Arabidopsis thaliana: one gene and its partner. The protein of the gene in region 2 interacts with the protein of the main gene of each other region in a pairwise test. Each region holds a gene or a part of one and is shown on either strand. Other genes may lie near its edges.

Region 1 (7,044 bases), on a different chromosome or scaffold from region 2:
ACATCTTTAATTAGTATTCTTAAATGTCAAAGTTCAAACAATTCTCATTGCAGATATTACTTCACGGCACATTGAAGGAAAGAGACTGGACAAAACGGTTTGGAACTTGCTAAATTTCTACGCATGCGCTAAGTACCATATTAAGGTACATTAGTTCTAGTTTTTCAAATAAAATATAATAGATTTTGTGTTCTTGTAATTGAAAATTTTCAACCTCGTATTGTTTAAATAGTGCTCGAGAGGGTACATACAGAGACGGATGAGAAAAAGAATGGAAACTTTAGTTAAGGTATTTTTATCATATATTACGTACACACACGAATCTACAACAATAGTTGACATTTCATAAACAAAATAACGTATGTTTGTAAATTTACATTATATACGTAGCTGCTAAATAACACAAGCCTAGAAGAAGAAGCTGCTCAAAATGGTATCCTTTTTTTTTGTTACCTTTAACCTTACTTAGGTTTGTATATATAAAAAAGTTATATTATCATTTTTTCTTTTCCATTCTCTAATTTCTATATAGAAAACGGAAGATGCAAATACGTAAAGGAGTTTGTGAAGGTACCAAAAGGTAAATTGATGATGAAACAAAGATGCAAGGAGATGACAAGGAGAGTGAAGATAAGCAAGTTCCGGATCAAAATCAACGGTTGTGCTCGGTTTCGATTCAATCAGCGGTGGATATCTCTCCCCAAATTCTCTTCGAAACCATCAGATAAATCATACACAAAATTGGACTAAGTAATCACTTAACTTGGAAAGTCTCAAGAAAGAGGCTCGGTGTTGTTGTTTTTTTTCTTTGTCAACATGCTTTAAAATTGAATTCGGGGAGCAATATTATACGTTAATGAATATCTTGACAACAAAAAAAAACGTTATCAGATAAACTTATGGATATAATTTGGTAAACCAAAAATAAACCTAATCAAAAGTTGGCATTGAATGCAGCATGTTACGTAAGAGCTTTGTACAAGTACCATTCACTCTTTTTACTTTTCAATGTATACAATCATCATGTGATAAAAAAAAAAATGTAACCAATCAACACACTGAGATACGGCCAAAAAATGGTAATACATAAATGTTTGTAGGTTTTGTAATTTAAATACTTTAGTTAAGTTATGATTTTATTATTTTTGCTTATCACTTATACGAAATCATCAATCTATTGGTATCTCTTAATCCCGCTTTTTAATTTCCACCGCACACGCAAATCAGCAAATGGTTCCAGCCACGTGCATGTGACCACATATTGTGGTCACAGTACTCGTCCTTTTTTTTTCTTTTGTAATCAATAAATTTCAATCCTAAAACTTCACACATTGAGCACGTCGGCAACGTTAGCTCCTAAATCATAACGAGCAAAAAAGTTCAAATTAGGGTATATGATCAATTGATCATCACTACATGTCTACATAATTAATATGTATTCAACCGGTCGGTTTGTTGATACTCATAGTTAAGTATATATGTGCTAATTAGAATTAGGATGAATCAGTTCTTGCAAACAACTACGGTTTCATATAATATGGGAGTGTTATGTACAAAATGAAAGAGGATGGATCATTCTGAGATGTTATGGGCTCCCAGTCAATCATGTTTTGCTCGCATATGCTATCTTTTGAGTCTCTTCCTAAACTCATAGAATAAGCACGTTGGTTTTTTCCACCGTCCTCCTCGTGAACAAAAGTACAATTACATTTTAGCAAATTGAAAATAACCACGTGGATGGACCATATTATATGTGATCATATTGCTTGTCGTCTTCGTTTTCTTTTAAATGTTTACACCACTACTTCCTGACACGTGTCCCTATTCACATCATCCTTGTTATATCGTTTTACTTATAAAGGATCACGAACACCAAAACATCAATGTGTACGTCTTTTGCATAAGAAGAAACAGAGAGCATTATCAATTATTAACAATTACACAAGACAGCGAGATTGTAAAAGAGTAAGAGAGAGAGAATGGCAGGAGAGGCAGAGGCTTTGGCCACGACGGCACCGTTAGCTCCGGTCACCAGTCAGCGAAAAGTACGGAACGATTTGGAGGAAACATTACCAAAACCATGTAAGTGTGAATGTCCAAATTTATGATTTTAATGTGTAACAAGCGGGAAATTAAGTGGTTACGTTAAATGAAACTACAAAAACATCCAACTATTAACATGACAAATCGTATATTATCCATTTTTAAAAGTTATGGTGAGGACATGAACATGTTTCAAATTAAGTGTACCTTTCAAGATTTGTAGTGTTCAACACAAGTCACAATAACTTAAAGAAAAAATGTAATTTTCTTGAAAAAGATACATAATAATCTAACGTACAAAAATGAAAAACAGACATGGCAAGAGCATTAGCAGCTCCAGATACAGAGCATCCGAATGGAACAGAAGGTCACGATAGCAAAGGAATGAGTGTTATGCAACAACATGTTGCTTTCTTCGACCAAAACGACGATGGAATCGTCTATCCTTGGGAGACTTATAAGGGTAATTATTACTTGTTATAGTCTCTTCAAAGACTTCAATCTTCAGAAAAAAAAAAAATTCAAATAATTGTATAAAAATTGCAGGATTTCGTGACCTTGGTTTCAACCCAATTTCCTCTATCTTTTGGACCTTACTCATAAACTTAGCGTTCAGCTACGTTACACTTCCGGTATGGAAAATAATCCAGAGACCCTTCGAATTTAATTTGAATTTTATTATTATTTTGTGATTTTAATTTATGTTGTGATCAATTTTATGTAAAAAGAGTTGGGTGCCATCACCATTATTGCCGGTTTATATCGACAACATACACAAAGCCAAGCATGGGAGTGATTCGAGCACCTATGACACCGAAGGAAGGTAACATTAACATATATGTAAAATATAATATCCAATAATTTTAAATAGAATTTTCATGATACTCAATTTTGTAAAATTGCGATTGTTTATAGGTATGTCCCAGTTAACCTCGAGAACATATTTAGCAAATACGCGCTAACGGTTAAAGATAAGTTATCATTTAAAGAGGTTTGGAATGTAACCGAGGGAAATCGAATGGCAATCGATCCTTTTGGATGGTTAGTACTAAAAACATTATTGGTTATTAGTTGATTTTTTTGAATGAAATTTATTAGTTGATTTTACATACACGGTAATAAGTTAACACTAAATCCTAACGAAATCTGCTAAATTTGTTGTGTTGGTTATGGCAGGCTTTCAAACAAAGTTGAATGGATACTACTCTATATTCTTGCTAAGGACGAAGATGGTTTCCTATCTAAAGAAGCTGTGAGAGGTTGCTTTGATGGAAGTTTATTTGAACAAATTGCCAAAGAGAGGGCCAATTCTCGCAAACAAGACTAAGAATGTGTGTGTTTGGTTAGCGAATAAAGCTTTTTGAAGAAAAGCATTGTGTAATTTAGCTTCTTTCGTCTTGTTATTCAGTTTGGGGATTTGTATAATTAATGTGTTTGTAAACTATGTTTCAAAGTTATATAAATAAGAGAAGATGTTACAAAAAAAAAAAAAAGACTAATAAGAAGAATTTGGTATTGTTCATTTCATGATTAAAATGGTTCATGGGCTATCATGGGCCTAAAAGGCCTTTTCCATAGGTTTAAACCCTAATCCTTTCTTCTCCTTCATTTTTCTACTTCGATCAGACGCCAAACATCAGAAGCCCTAGAGCTTGAGCCGTCGAAAATGTCGAAGCGAGGTATGTCTTTTTCGATTCCAAGCCTTCTTCTTTCGTAGCTGTTGCAATTTAGTATAATTTGTTTTTGAAGCTTCCATGGCTGTTAGATTTAATAATAATTGAAATCAATCTACTACTCTCAGTATAGAATGCTCGAAAGTTTGAACCTTTGATCTCGATTTCTTCAATTCCAAGTAATATGATCTGATGTATTCATCTAGACAGCTCATTAACAACATTTGATATCAAAAATATTGAATTTGAGACTTGATGTTATTGAAAACAGAAAAGGTAAATGTTTTTGAGCATTGTTCTAATGGTGCTTGTGTTTTGTTGTTTGATTTGATTAGGACGTGGAGGAACGTCTGGTAACAAATTCAGGATGTCACTTGGTCTGCCCGTTGCAGCCACAGTGAACTGTGCAGACAACACTGGTGCTAAGAACCTTTACATCATCTCTGTTAAAGGAATCAAAGGTCGTCTCAATCGGTTACCTTCTGCTTGTGTTGGTGACATGGTTATGGCCACTGTCAAGAAAGGTAAACCAGACCTCAGGAAAAAGGTTCTTCCTGCTGTGATTGTTAGGCAACGTAAGCCATGGCGCCGAAAGGACGGTGTTTTCATGTACTTTGAAGGTAATTTTGCATACCTCAACAATTTCTCGAGTTGAAGTTTATGATCATGAGATTGGTACTGATTCGGTTCTTGGATCGTAGATAATGCTGGAGTGATTGTGAACCCTAAGGGAGAAATGAAAGGTATTAGTTTGTTTATTCCATTAGTTCTTTGTCAAACATATCTTGGCAGTACATTGTTTTCTGAAACATGTTGGTGGTTTGTTTTGGTTTTCAGGTTCTGCAATTACTGGACCTATTGGGAAAGAGTGTGCGGATCTCTGGCCAAGGATTGCTAGTGCTGCTAACGCCATTGTCTGAAGATCATTTATCACTTTTGCTGGTTATGTATCTGTCTTCAACGAAACGCGAAATAGTTGGTGTTTTGAGTGTTTTAAGTAGAGACGACAATCTTTTGTGAGCTTCAGACATATTTCCAGTTTCTAAGAGATTTTGCTTAGATTTTTCCAGTTTCTGATTTTGTGAAAATCAATTGCTCAGAGGTGACTATTAATAGGTCATAAAAATGAGTTATAAAGTCGAAAATTATGTGCAGAAGAAACTCTTACAAAACCAGAATATCATGAAGGTGAAAATTTGGAGGCAGCGAAATCATGTGGTCTACAATATTTGGAGGCAGCGAAATAATCTGCTTCACAATCTTCAGCGTCTTGCTCCGGCCCTCATCTTCAAGTTCATTGACCGCGAGATTCGAAACATCATCACCTCGAGAAGGCACCGGGCGCGTTGGCGGTCGTTAATGCTTCTTTGGATCCGTTAATCCACCCAAATCTTACGTAACTCTATTGTAATCTTGTTTTACTTTTTTGCCAAGATTGCTTTGGTTTGGTTTTGCTCTGTAAAATCACATTGTTCATTCTAATGATATTAACAAATTTAGCAAAAAAAAAAAAAATCATGAAGGTGAAAATCAAAAGTCAGAATTTACATTTTACACAACTCTTTGAAAAACAATACCAAAGCCCACATATGATTCCAGTAAAGAGACAATGATATACTTTCTATAGATTTAAACAGAAAGCCAAAAAATAAAAAAATAAAAATAATATCTACTAATTTGTAGATATTGTTAACTCAAGAACCCAACTAAAAACTATGAAGGCTGAGTTTTGCCCATCTTACTTTGTGCAATCCTTTCTTTTGCTAGTTAAGCTTCTGTACACTTCTTTGACGACCATGGCCGGAGTCTCTGGCTTTGGCTATGAATGTATGCTAAAGCAATTGAAAAAGATTGCAAAACTGATATCTTTGCTTGAGACTGGACAAAGTAGAGACCATCTCGAACATTCATGATCCTTAGTCCAGGACTTCCCTGCATCAATCCCTGAAACGAAAACACACAACGAATCAATCGAATTTCAGAGTCAATATGACCAAGACTGATTTTTTAGTTGATGAGTTATCTTGAATGCAAGAAAGTTTCCATTTTTTGAAATCTATGATGTATGGTTAAGGAAGTGGTAACTGGATCTTGAATGCTACCTCTGTGAAAAGCTCAAAAAGATTGCATTGGCCTTCACTTTGGTCTTTTCGCGCTTGGCCTTTAAGGACGGTTAAGGGGCAACCCAAGTCCCATCCAGAGCAATCACAGCATCCACCGGATTTCCATCTCTGAATCAAGCTCGAAGGACCACCGTTTCTATTTCTCGGCCCTCCGTGAATCCCTAAAGGAATCACAACATCTATGCTTGTGGAATGCTTAGAACATTTAGAAGCATCCTTGGTTCGAGCTAAGGGAATTTTCTTGAGAAACTTCATGCCCCAGCCTCCAACTTTTTCGACTTCTTCTTCTTCTTCTTCTTCCACTGGAAACTGTTCTCTCACAACAACAGCTGAGGTTTCAAGATTTGGTGGAAGGTCATTATCCAGTAAACTTATGGGTTCAAGATCGCTGTCATGTTCTTGAAATGGCTCCCAAGAACAAAAATCCGGTATGGAGCTTGTTCTACTGAATCTTGAGATACTTCTTTGCCTTGAAGTGCGTTTGGTGCTTTTGAGAGCATCAACGACTTTCTTAGGCAATCCTCTGTTTTTCCTAATATCTTTGTGGCACGGTAACTGCGGATTTCCACCACTGCTGAATAGAACAAACTGTCTCTCTACAGTTTTTTCATTCGTGGACGAGACAGAAAACAAAGTTGATACCTTTAGTTTACCAACCAAATGCTGCGGCTCAGATCCGCGACCTTTCTTCAAATGGATCAAATACGAATAGTCTAGAGAACTACGGTCGAAACCTGACCCAACACTAGTAGTGCTTAAGCTAGCTACATAGATCTCTTTCTGATCATCCAGTGAGAAAACAAAATGAGGCGTCTTGTTGTCTTTCATAGTGAATTGAAGTGTTCCTTGAGAAACTGATGAAGATGGAGACCACGAGGAAGAAGATTGCTCAGAAGAAGAAGAACTCAATGAATTTGTGCTTGATAAAGAAACTGCCTTTCGGGGCATGTTTCCAGAATGATAACTCAGAAACTGTGAATCCGGGGTGTTTTTTTCCTCTATCTTCCTCACAACATCATATGAAACCAACTCGCTTTCACCATTATGGTCTCGCCTTGTCCCGATATTATTACCATCACCATCTAATGCTTCGAGACTGTGTAACGTAGGCTTATCAAGCATATATGTAACCCTCTTGCAACCTATAATTGCACGGCTAATCACTGGACTGCCTGAATCATCTACCAACGGAAGATCAAACACAA
Region 2 (8,126 bases):
CATTCCCAAACCCAGTACTTCCATACCATTCCCCACCATCTCAGACCCATCTGATACATCAATGAAAGCTCTTTGTGTGAACCATCATTAAGCTTGAGAATAAAAATCATGTATAAGAGTTGCCGACTCTACACCACATTTCTACAAGTTGGGAAAGATCTCTGCTTAAAATGCAACCACTTTACTAGTTGAGTTAGCATGGCTTTTGATGATTCACCAACATACAATGTACTATATTATGGATTTGACTGGCGGCTCAACGGAAACTCCATAGTCTTTTCTGCCTCTAGACTTGGGCAATTTCACAGAAGTTGAAGACCCTCTTCATGAGTCGGAGACTTTGGTTCCTTTTAGTCTAGAGATAATAAACGTTAAGAAAAAAGGAAAGAAGATGAGAAATGTCTCTCAGCTAGACAAGACCCCCATCCGTCGTCGTTGACCCCTTTCCGCCATAAAATCCCAACACCTGTTTTCTTGCATCGAAACCATCCCCTTGCCTTGTTTGCTTGGACAGATGACTCCTTGCTAGTTTTTTGAAGATCCGGCCGTATCTCTTCGGTAATCTTTTCTCTTCATCCTTTTTGTTGTTCCTTGTGATTTTCGAGCAATTGGAGATTAGTGTGGGTGTATCCGGTCTGATCTAACCCTCCTTGGTCATGATTTTATATGTATGCCCCTTTTCAGACCTCAAAGCTGCCGCCTTTGGATCCGATGGAATCACAAGGACCTTCTAATGGTCATCCCATGGATATCAGCAGCAATTCAATCCCATCGTCTGCCTGTAATCTGTGCGGAAGAGTCGTTCAATCTGCTTCCGATGATCTTGAAATCTTCAGCTTATGTGTCGACTGTAAGTTTTTGTTGCTTGAAGATTTCGGCACTCCCGCGCCTCCCTTGGCTCGGCGGCAGACAATTAGGAGGAGGAGGATGAGGAGGAGGAGAAGAACAACTAGGCACGACAGCTCTGAGTCTGTCGGTGTCGGTGATCTTTCCTCCCAACAATTCACACACTTGATAAGCATTGCAAGACAAAGCCTTTCAACGGTTCAAGCTAGTGAGGATCTACGTGATGACCTGCGAACTAGCTCCCATACCACTCCAAGCGGCTCGACAAGATGGAGACTCTTCTCAGAATCTGAAAGTGATGATTTTGACAACTTTGGCGAAACCGAATCAAACGCTAGCTTTAGCCTCTACAGATTTCCCCATGCTGATAACGATACCATTTCTTTTAGTGCTTACGGTGGAGAGTCTGATGCTTCCACGGACAGGCATGCCGATATCTTTGTTCAACCAGATGACAGGAGCGACATTGACTTTGACACTGATATAGACCCGATGCGCGCTGGTCTTAACCAGTGGAACTCAGACGAAGAAGACAGGGAATGGGAGGAAGGAGCGGGTCCTTCTGGGGTTGCAGGAACACGCTATAGAAACTATTTGGCAAGTCCAAGTGAGAGCTACAGCTCCATGACTCGGTTTGATTCACCTGAGTTAGAGAGAAGCTTTCGTCAAAGAATTATAGAGAGGAGGCATTCGTTATCTCGCAACATCTTCACTGGTTTGGAGGATTTGGACTTCTCCCCCTATGCTGCAAATGTTGGGGATTATCTTGATGAGAGAGGCTTTGATGAACTGCTTGAGCAACTTGCTGAGTCTGACAATTCAAGAAGAGGTGCACCACCTGCATCTGTCTCATGCGTCAGGAATCTTCCAAGGGTTATCATTGCAGAGGAGCATGTAATGAAGGGCCTAGTTTGTGCGATCTGCAAGGAGCTTTTCTCCCTCCGCAATGAAACCACGCAGCTTCCGTGTCTACATCTATACCATGCTCATTGTATCGTACCTTGGCTGAGTGCCCGTAACTCCTGCCCACTCTGCCGTTATGAGCTCCCGACAGATGATAAAGATTACGAGGAGGGAAAGCGGAATGTGCTGGATGTGAGCGAGGATAGCTCCTCCTCTGATGATGGTACAGAATCGGGGGAAGAGGAATATGTAGAGAGAGGTGAGAGCGAGTCTGGTGTGAGCAGAGTCAGCAGAGGAAGATGGCTGTTTCTGGCTGCTGCACCAGTTGTGAGTCTGGTGGGCGTTGTGTTGGCAATGTGGCTAAGCAGCCCACACAGGAGGGGTATAGCAATCTCTCATAGCCAAAGGGAGAACAGAACCAGAAGATGGCTGCCGTTTTTCTGACTGATGCCCAGATCCGTAGGTGCCTCCAGAATCTGTATTTTTTTAAGACCCTTAAAAGATACTTGAGTTTCGTCTGCTGTTTATCGACTTGGTACTGTTTCCACACATTAGTTTTAATTGACGTTTAACTAAAGTTGTGCTGTTTGTCGCGTGTTTCAAATAATATTCTTGATATATCCAGAGAAAAAGGGAGTGCTCATTAGTTGAAAAGAGTTATAAACTAACATTTACACAGGAAAGGAAAAAAAAAAAATCAGAATTTTGGTTGGTTCAGGCACATAGGAGATGCCACTGTATTTACACAGAAGTATTGTATAGTAGCAGATGAATGTGTCAATAAGAAGAGAATTCAGAAGAGTATGTTAATGTAGAGTACCATCCATCCAGCCATTGAGAAGATGGCGAAAATGTGGACCCAGAAGAGCACAGCAGCTGATTCCCTTCCACAGCCTCTAAGGTTGGCAACAGCTCCTGAGAGCACTGATGTAGGCATTGTGTGCTGAAGGAGTAACACAAATCGGAACATCTTATCATCAGCAGGAAGGAACCCAAGTTTGTCTGCTACTGTCACGATTCCTAGTCCTACTGGTGGCACTAACACCAACCGTCCAATTATAATAGCTGCTGTTGTCTTGAAACCAAGTTTTGAACTTCCTGGTCCTAAAATTTACCCAAGGAACCAATAAGATCCATGTGATGGATGGGGCTAAAAACTAAGTCAGTATGAAAAGAAAGCAACCACCAAACCTACCGTTAATGAGATTTCCCCCCAGTGCCAGTAAGATACACGGTATCATCGCGTCCCTGATAGCCAAAGGTTTTACATATATTAACTAATTAATTTGCAGCTGCTTCACAGAAGACAAATAAAGAGTGTGCTTACCCAAGAATCATGCAGCTGTCTGTGAAGAAGAATAGAGGTGCACCATTTGTGAATATCAACTTCTTTGTGAAAGGTATTGCTCCGAGTATCATGGCAAGGATCTGAAGTTAACAAAAACACGTCTAGTTTAGTTACATGGTAAAGGCAATCGCACGGTCTCTTGATCTTTAGATTGTCAGATAAAAAAGGGGAATAGAAAAGACGAGATACTTACCGAAGCAACAATTGCAGGCTGGACAATTTGCTTCAGTTTCAGCTTCTCATAGAGGAAAACAAAGATCTGTGCAATCTACATCACGGAGCAAAAGATAAAAAGTTTCGTAAGAACCAGCTTATATCAGGTAAAATACTCCTGAAACATAGAATAAAGATTCCATAATTGCAGTCCCACCTTGCCTTTCCTTGAAACCCCTCTTCCCCTAGGTTCGGTGCTCTGTACAGGCAAAAGATCTTGAGTCGGCGAAAAGTCCTTGGGAAAATTCTGAGTAAGCAAGGGGACTTGCTCTGGAGCAGCATCTACTGGAAGGGTTTTTAAAGCAAGATTTTCTTCTTCAGCATCAAACCCTTCTGGAGGAGGAGCAAACATCTGGTACACATATGTATAGAGGATGATGGCACCAACCTGATATAAAAAGTAAACCTTGTGGTTAATTGAAGTCCCACAGAGAGAAATAATATCCATTCCCATAAGACATTGATGACAAACAGTACATTGGAACTAAAGATCCTATACAAAATAGTTTCAATGAGGATACTCCTCATACATCAAGCTCCTCTTCATCCAAACAGAAAAAAAAAGCAGAAGACAAGAAACTGTATCACTGTTACATAAGAGACAGAAACTGAAGCAGCTAATGGACTGATTCTAGTAGGTATAATAATAGTTACAGCATAGAAGCAGTTAAAAAGAGAAAAAAGAGTACCCATTGACCAAAGGAGATATAAGCAGTGCCATCAATGCTACATTTTTCGGAGTCACCAAAAGGGTTGGAAGTGTCCCTACAAAGAGCCGCAAGTAAAACAAGAGGCACATTGCCAATGTTGCCTGAAACAAACAAGGCACATAAAGTGAGACTAGTGTCAGAGCAGAAAAGCGAGGGTAGGGAAAAAAAGGGGTCTAACCAACTCCAATTTGTATGATTGTAAACTTGAAGTAAGGGTAAGGCGGACGAACGATGGAAGCAACGATGAAACCGATTATGGAGCCAGAGATGGTGCCAAGAACGACGTTAACGGGAATGAACCACCTGAAAGATGGAAAAGAATATGATGATCTATATAAGGACTAGAGAGAGACTAGGGGGGACAAAGAAGGAAACAAATACCACTGAAGCATTTTTTGGAGAGTGACGGCTTGTCCGAGCTGGGAAAAGATCAAGCAGGGAAGCAAAAGCGAGAAGACCAACTGTGTGAAAAGGAGAGACAGTTTCATTCAAAGTTTGCTTTTTTTGGATTTATAGAGAAAGTGAAAAAGTCTAGTGTGGAGAATTAATTACCCCGTTCAAGAGTTTGCGGCCAGAGGGAGGCAAGATGTTAACGTACTTGGAGGCCATGAGAAGACCCAAGAAGCACATGGTGAATACCTTTGCAATTGGCATCACAGCGATTTTGATGGTACCGAGCACTGATCCACCACCGGCAGCCACCGGCATCTCCATGGAATCGGCTAAGGCGGCAAGGATCCGAGCAATCATTCTGAGAATTTTGAGGGTGGACTTGGGTTGAAAAGTGGAGGAGAAACAGAGAGAATCGGAGTCTCTGAGATGATATTTTGATTTGATGAGAGAAGAGAATCAAAGACTTCTCTCGATCTCTCGTGACTCTCGTGACTGCCTGCCACGTGCGCCGCTTCTTCCTTTACTTCTTTCCTTTTCTAAGCCCAAAAGCCCCTTCAAAACTTCCCCACATACCTTTTTTTTTATTCTGTTTTTATTATTACTCAAGTTTAGAACTTCATTTATTTATGGTTTATTTTCATTTAATTAAAATACTCAAGTTTACAAGTTTTTACAACAAACTTGTAAAAATATCAGCTGACCAAGCCTCAAAACTATGTTTGACCTGACTTGGGATTTGGGATAATGAGGATCACAACTATAAAATATATTCTTAAACGGAAATAAAAGCAAAAAGATAAAAAGAAAAAAAAACAATGATATAGTTGATGATGCCCTAGGATTTGGACACATCAACAAATATTGGTTGGTTCCAACATGATTCTGTAGAAAAGGTATTATAATAATAATAATCAAGTTTGTAGAGGGGAGAGAGATGAGGCATTGCAGTAAGCGATAGCTGCCTTGAGGGAATCGTCCGTTAATGCTTCATCCTTATTATTACTCATGCTGCCTTCGTAGTAGTATCGTAGGGGGCTCTTGTTTCGTCGTCTCTGTATAACTTGGAGGACCCACCTCTCTCCCACGTTTACTTTCTCTCTTATGACTCCCACTATACTCAAACACCCCACTTTCATCATCAACCTCGTCACGCTGCTGTATGCTGAGAAGCAACTAGTGGCCGATGAGAAGATTGCTGTCGTCGTCTGCATTTCGTTCTCGGGAGATGGCGAAGAAGAGATGCTCAATCCTGTGGTTCTGACTGCTTTGTTGATTTGTATTTCAATGAAAGATTCACCATTGTTGCTGCTATCCTTCGACGCTTCATTCATCCATCCCACCTCGTTCTCCATACTATTAGTTACCGGGTCACTTCCCAAAACTCCATCTACTACGACTAGTTATAGATATATAAGATTTGATCTCTTGCTCCTAATTTTTTAACAATAATCAAGTAGATTCTAATTGATATACAGCTAGCAGCTCATGTGAGCTCTTAGTGCAATAATATAAGAGAATGAATACACGATTATTGTCTGATCAAATTAAATCTCTCGATGGGATCGGGGGATTGGTGGTATAAATCAAATTTTTAATAATATATAGTTTGGACACTAGTCCCTGATAATATCATAATGTAGCTAACTGAGTTGTATTTATCGCCAAGCTCTTGGGATATCACATGCATATATCACATGTCACATTTTATTTGCTTTCTCGTTTTGAATTGTATTTTGGTTTCTCATTTTTGATGGAGTCAAATTCCGAAAAGCCGGAAAGAACAGCTAATGGATTAAGTCTTGAAATGTATCTTTTGTATACGTGTTTCGGTTTTTGTTGTGAGATTTTATTGGATCACGCTTGAAGATATTATTTCAAGGGATAAAAGGATAAAGAAAAAAGATTCTTGATAAAATATTATGTTAGCTTAGCTTGGTGTACGTACAATAATATGAGAAGAGCGATTTTGATCTCACCGTAAAGTACTTTTTCCAAACGGGTTTGCACTAGATGGCCCATAATGAAGTTTTATTAGGCCCATGGATGATAGTCCAATGAAATGATGTAATCAAACGTAAGCAATAAGTAAGAACTTATGAAGAACCAACTGGTTTGCTTCGGTCCATCAATGAACGTTATGCACCGTGGTCCGTGGTAATTAGACTTTTCTAGTTCGTATTTGAAAATTTTCAATAGTTCTTATTTTGTAATTATCATAATCTCTAAACTTTTGTAGTGCAGTTGGGAAGTAAACAAATAAATATAAAAATAACATGGTTTATATAGCTCAAAGAAATGGGATATGTTTTTTGGAGAACTTTTTGATTAAGGATATTGGGTAGTGTAAGTTGAAAGTAATGTTCTTGTTAAAAATAATGATATAGCATTATAGCGTAAGGAGAAATTGAAAGTTGATGAAATATTTGTAAGAATATTATGAGTACGTAGAGTAGATAATATTCTTTTATATATGATTAATTAACTATCACTTTAGTATTGTGTAAAACTCAAACTCTCGGTATGATTATAGACGCAATGACAAAATCATGATACTTAAGTCGTTCAAGTATTATTAAATAGATACTTTTGTCATCGTGTTGCGTTTGTTATACAAAAGGTGGAACAGTTTTGAGTTTTGACCTTATTTTTAGGGTTGTTTTGTAAGGGAAACAACGACGTGCAATACGACAACTGATAGAGAACAAAGGACAAAACATTATCTTTGTTTGAAATGCTCGACAACATCTACATATTCCTATTTAATCACGACATTACGTTACTTGAAAAATTCCATAATTCAACTATGGCTATATCTTATATATTTGAAAAGAAGTTATAGAATTGGAAAAAACAAGAAAAATGAGAAATTTTTGGCAAACATATAGTATAAATTATGCAATCAAGAAGAAAAGTTTAGGGATTTTGAAAATGTTAAAATCTTCTCCTAGTTTCTAAGCAAAAAGTATAGGTTGAAACTATTTTCACAAGTAAATTTTTTTAAAAAAATCTATGAAATTCGAGATAAATAAAGATAATTATGAAGCTACAGTTCATATTAAAAAATCGTGTTGTGACCACTCGATCGTAATACACACGCAAAGACAAGGAAAACGTTGGAGATTTGGGTTGGGTTAGAACCAAAGACAAAGCATCACTTTCTACCTTTATCCTTAAGAATGGACCAAATTGTGGTCATTATGGAAGCCTATACGGCTAATACCATTCATTTATCAAACTTGTTAAATGTAAATGAAAACATAGAAGAAAATTTTTATTGATACTTATTGAGTTATTGAATTTCACTTCACGTATTGAATGTGTGTGTTATCTTTGAAGAGAGGACGCATTCATTGTTAGGGAGTGAATGCTTTACGGAGTAACATTTTTGAAATTTGTAAACTTTTTTAGAAATTTAAACTATCTTCGATCCGATCCGCTGCACTATATAAACAAAAATTGTATATAGTAATATTGAACCGTAAAAAAAAGTAGAGGAATTTTCAAGGTTGTGTGTTAATATAAATGAACAAAATTTAAAATACTGACACCAAATATATCTTGTGGAAGTTGTAAAAATAGACAATAAATGGGATAAGTAATAGTAATACAAACTGTTATAGAGGTATTGTACCGTTGCATACTTGCATATCATTTGATGAATACGACTTTATTTTTATTTTTATACTTCTTTAGTTCCAAATTCCTAATTTAAT

The links.
Region 1: the proteins of AT5G01990 (region 2) and RD20 interact in a two-hybrid assay, tested with the Arabidopsis thaliana proteins (one large-scale study listed by BioGRID).

Annotation. Positions count from the first base shown.
Region 1 is NC_003071.7:14,141,310-14,148,353, reverse strand, and holds RD20 (Caleosin-related family protein), read left to right. Parts: upstream 1-1,798; 5' UTR 1,799-1,979; coding exon 1,980-2,082; intron 2,083-2,356; coding exon 2,357-2,506; intron 2,507-2,589; coding exon 2,590-2,675; intron 2,676-2,771; coding exon 2,772-2,866; intron 2,867-2,958; coding exon 2,959-3,084; intron 3,085-3,219; coding exon 3,220-3,370; 3' UTR 3,371-3,523; downstream 3,524-7,044. Other genes in the region: arpc2b (actin-related protein C2B), read left to right, coding at 54-145, 233-289, 391-433, 533-750; AT2G33370 (Ribosomal protein L14p/L23e family protein), read left to right, coding at 3,710-3,722, 4,052-4,336, 4,418-4,459, 4,554-4,636; AT2G33360 (cadherin EGF LAG seven-pass G-type receptor, putative (DUF3527)), read right to left, coding at 5,484-5,660, 5,819-7,044. UniProt on the Arabidopsis thaliana protein: Probable calcium-binding peroxygenase. May be involved in the degradation of storage lipid in oil bodies, in abiotic stress-related signaling pathway and in drought tolerance through stomatal control under water deficit conditions.
Region 2 is NC_003076.8:374,831-382,956, forward strand, and holds AT5G01990 (Auxin efflux carrier family protein), read right to left. Parts: upstream 5,082-8,126; 5' UTR 4,771-5,081; coding exon 4,573-4,770; intron 4,482-4,572; coding exon 4,402-4,481; intron 4,324-4,401; coding exon 4,199-4,323; intron 4,122-4,198; coding exon 4,000-4,121; intron 3,699-3,999; coding exon 3,468-3,698; intron 3,366-3,467; coding exon 3,291-3,365; intron 3,178-3,290; coding exon 3,077-3,177; intron 2,998-3,076; coding exon 2,945-2,997; intron 2,854-2,944; coding exon 2,543-2,853; 3' UTR 2,401-2,542; downstream 1-2,400. Other genes in the region: AT5G01980 (RING/U-box superfamily protein), read left to right, coding at 712-2,193; AT5G02000 (uncharacterized protein), read right to left, coding at 5,325-5,765. UniProt on the Arabidopsis thaliana protein: Involved in cellular auxin homeostasis by regulating auxin metabolism. Regulates intracellular auxin accumulation at the endoplasmic reticulum and thus auxin availability for nuclear auxin signaling.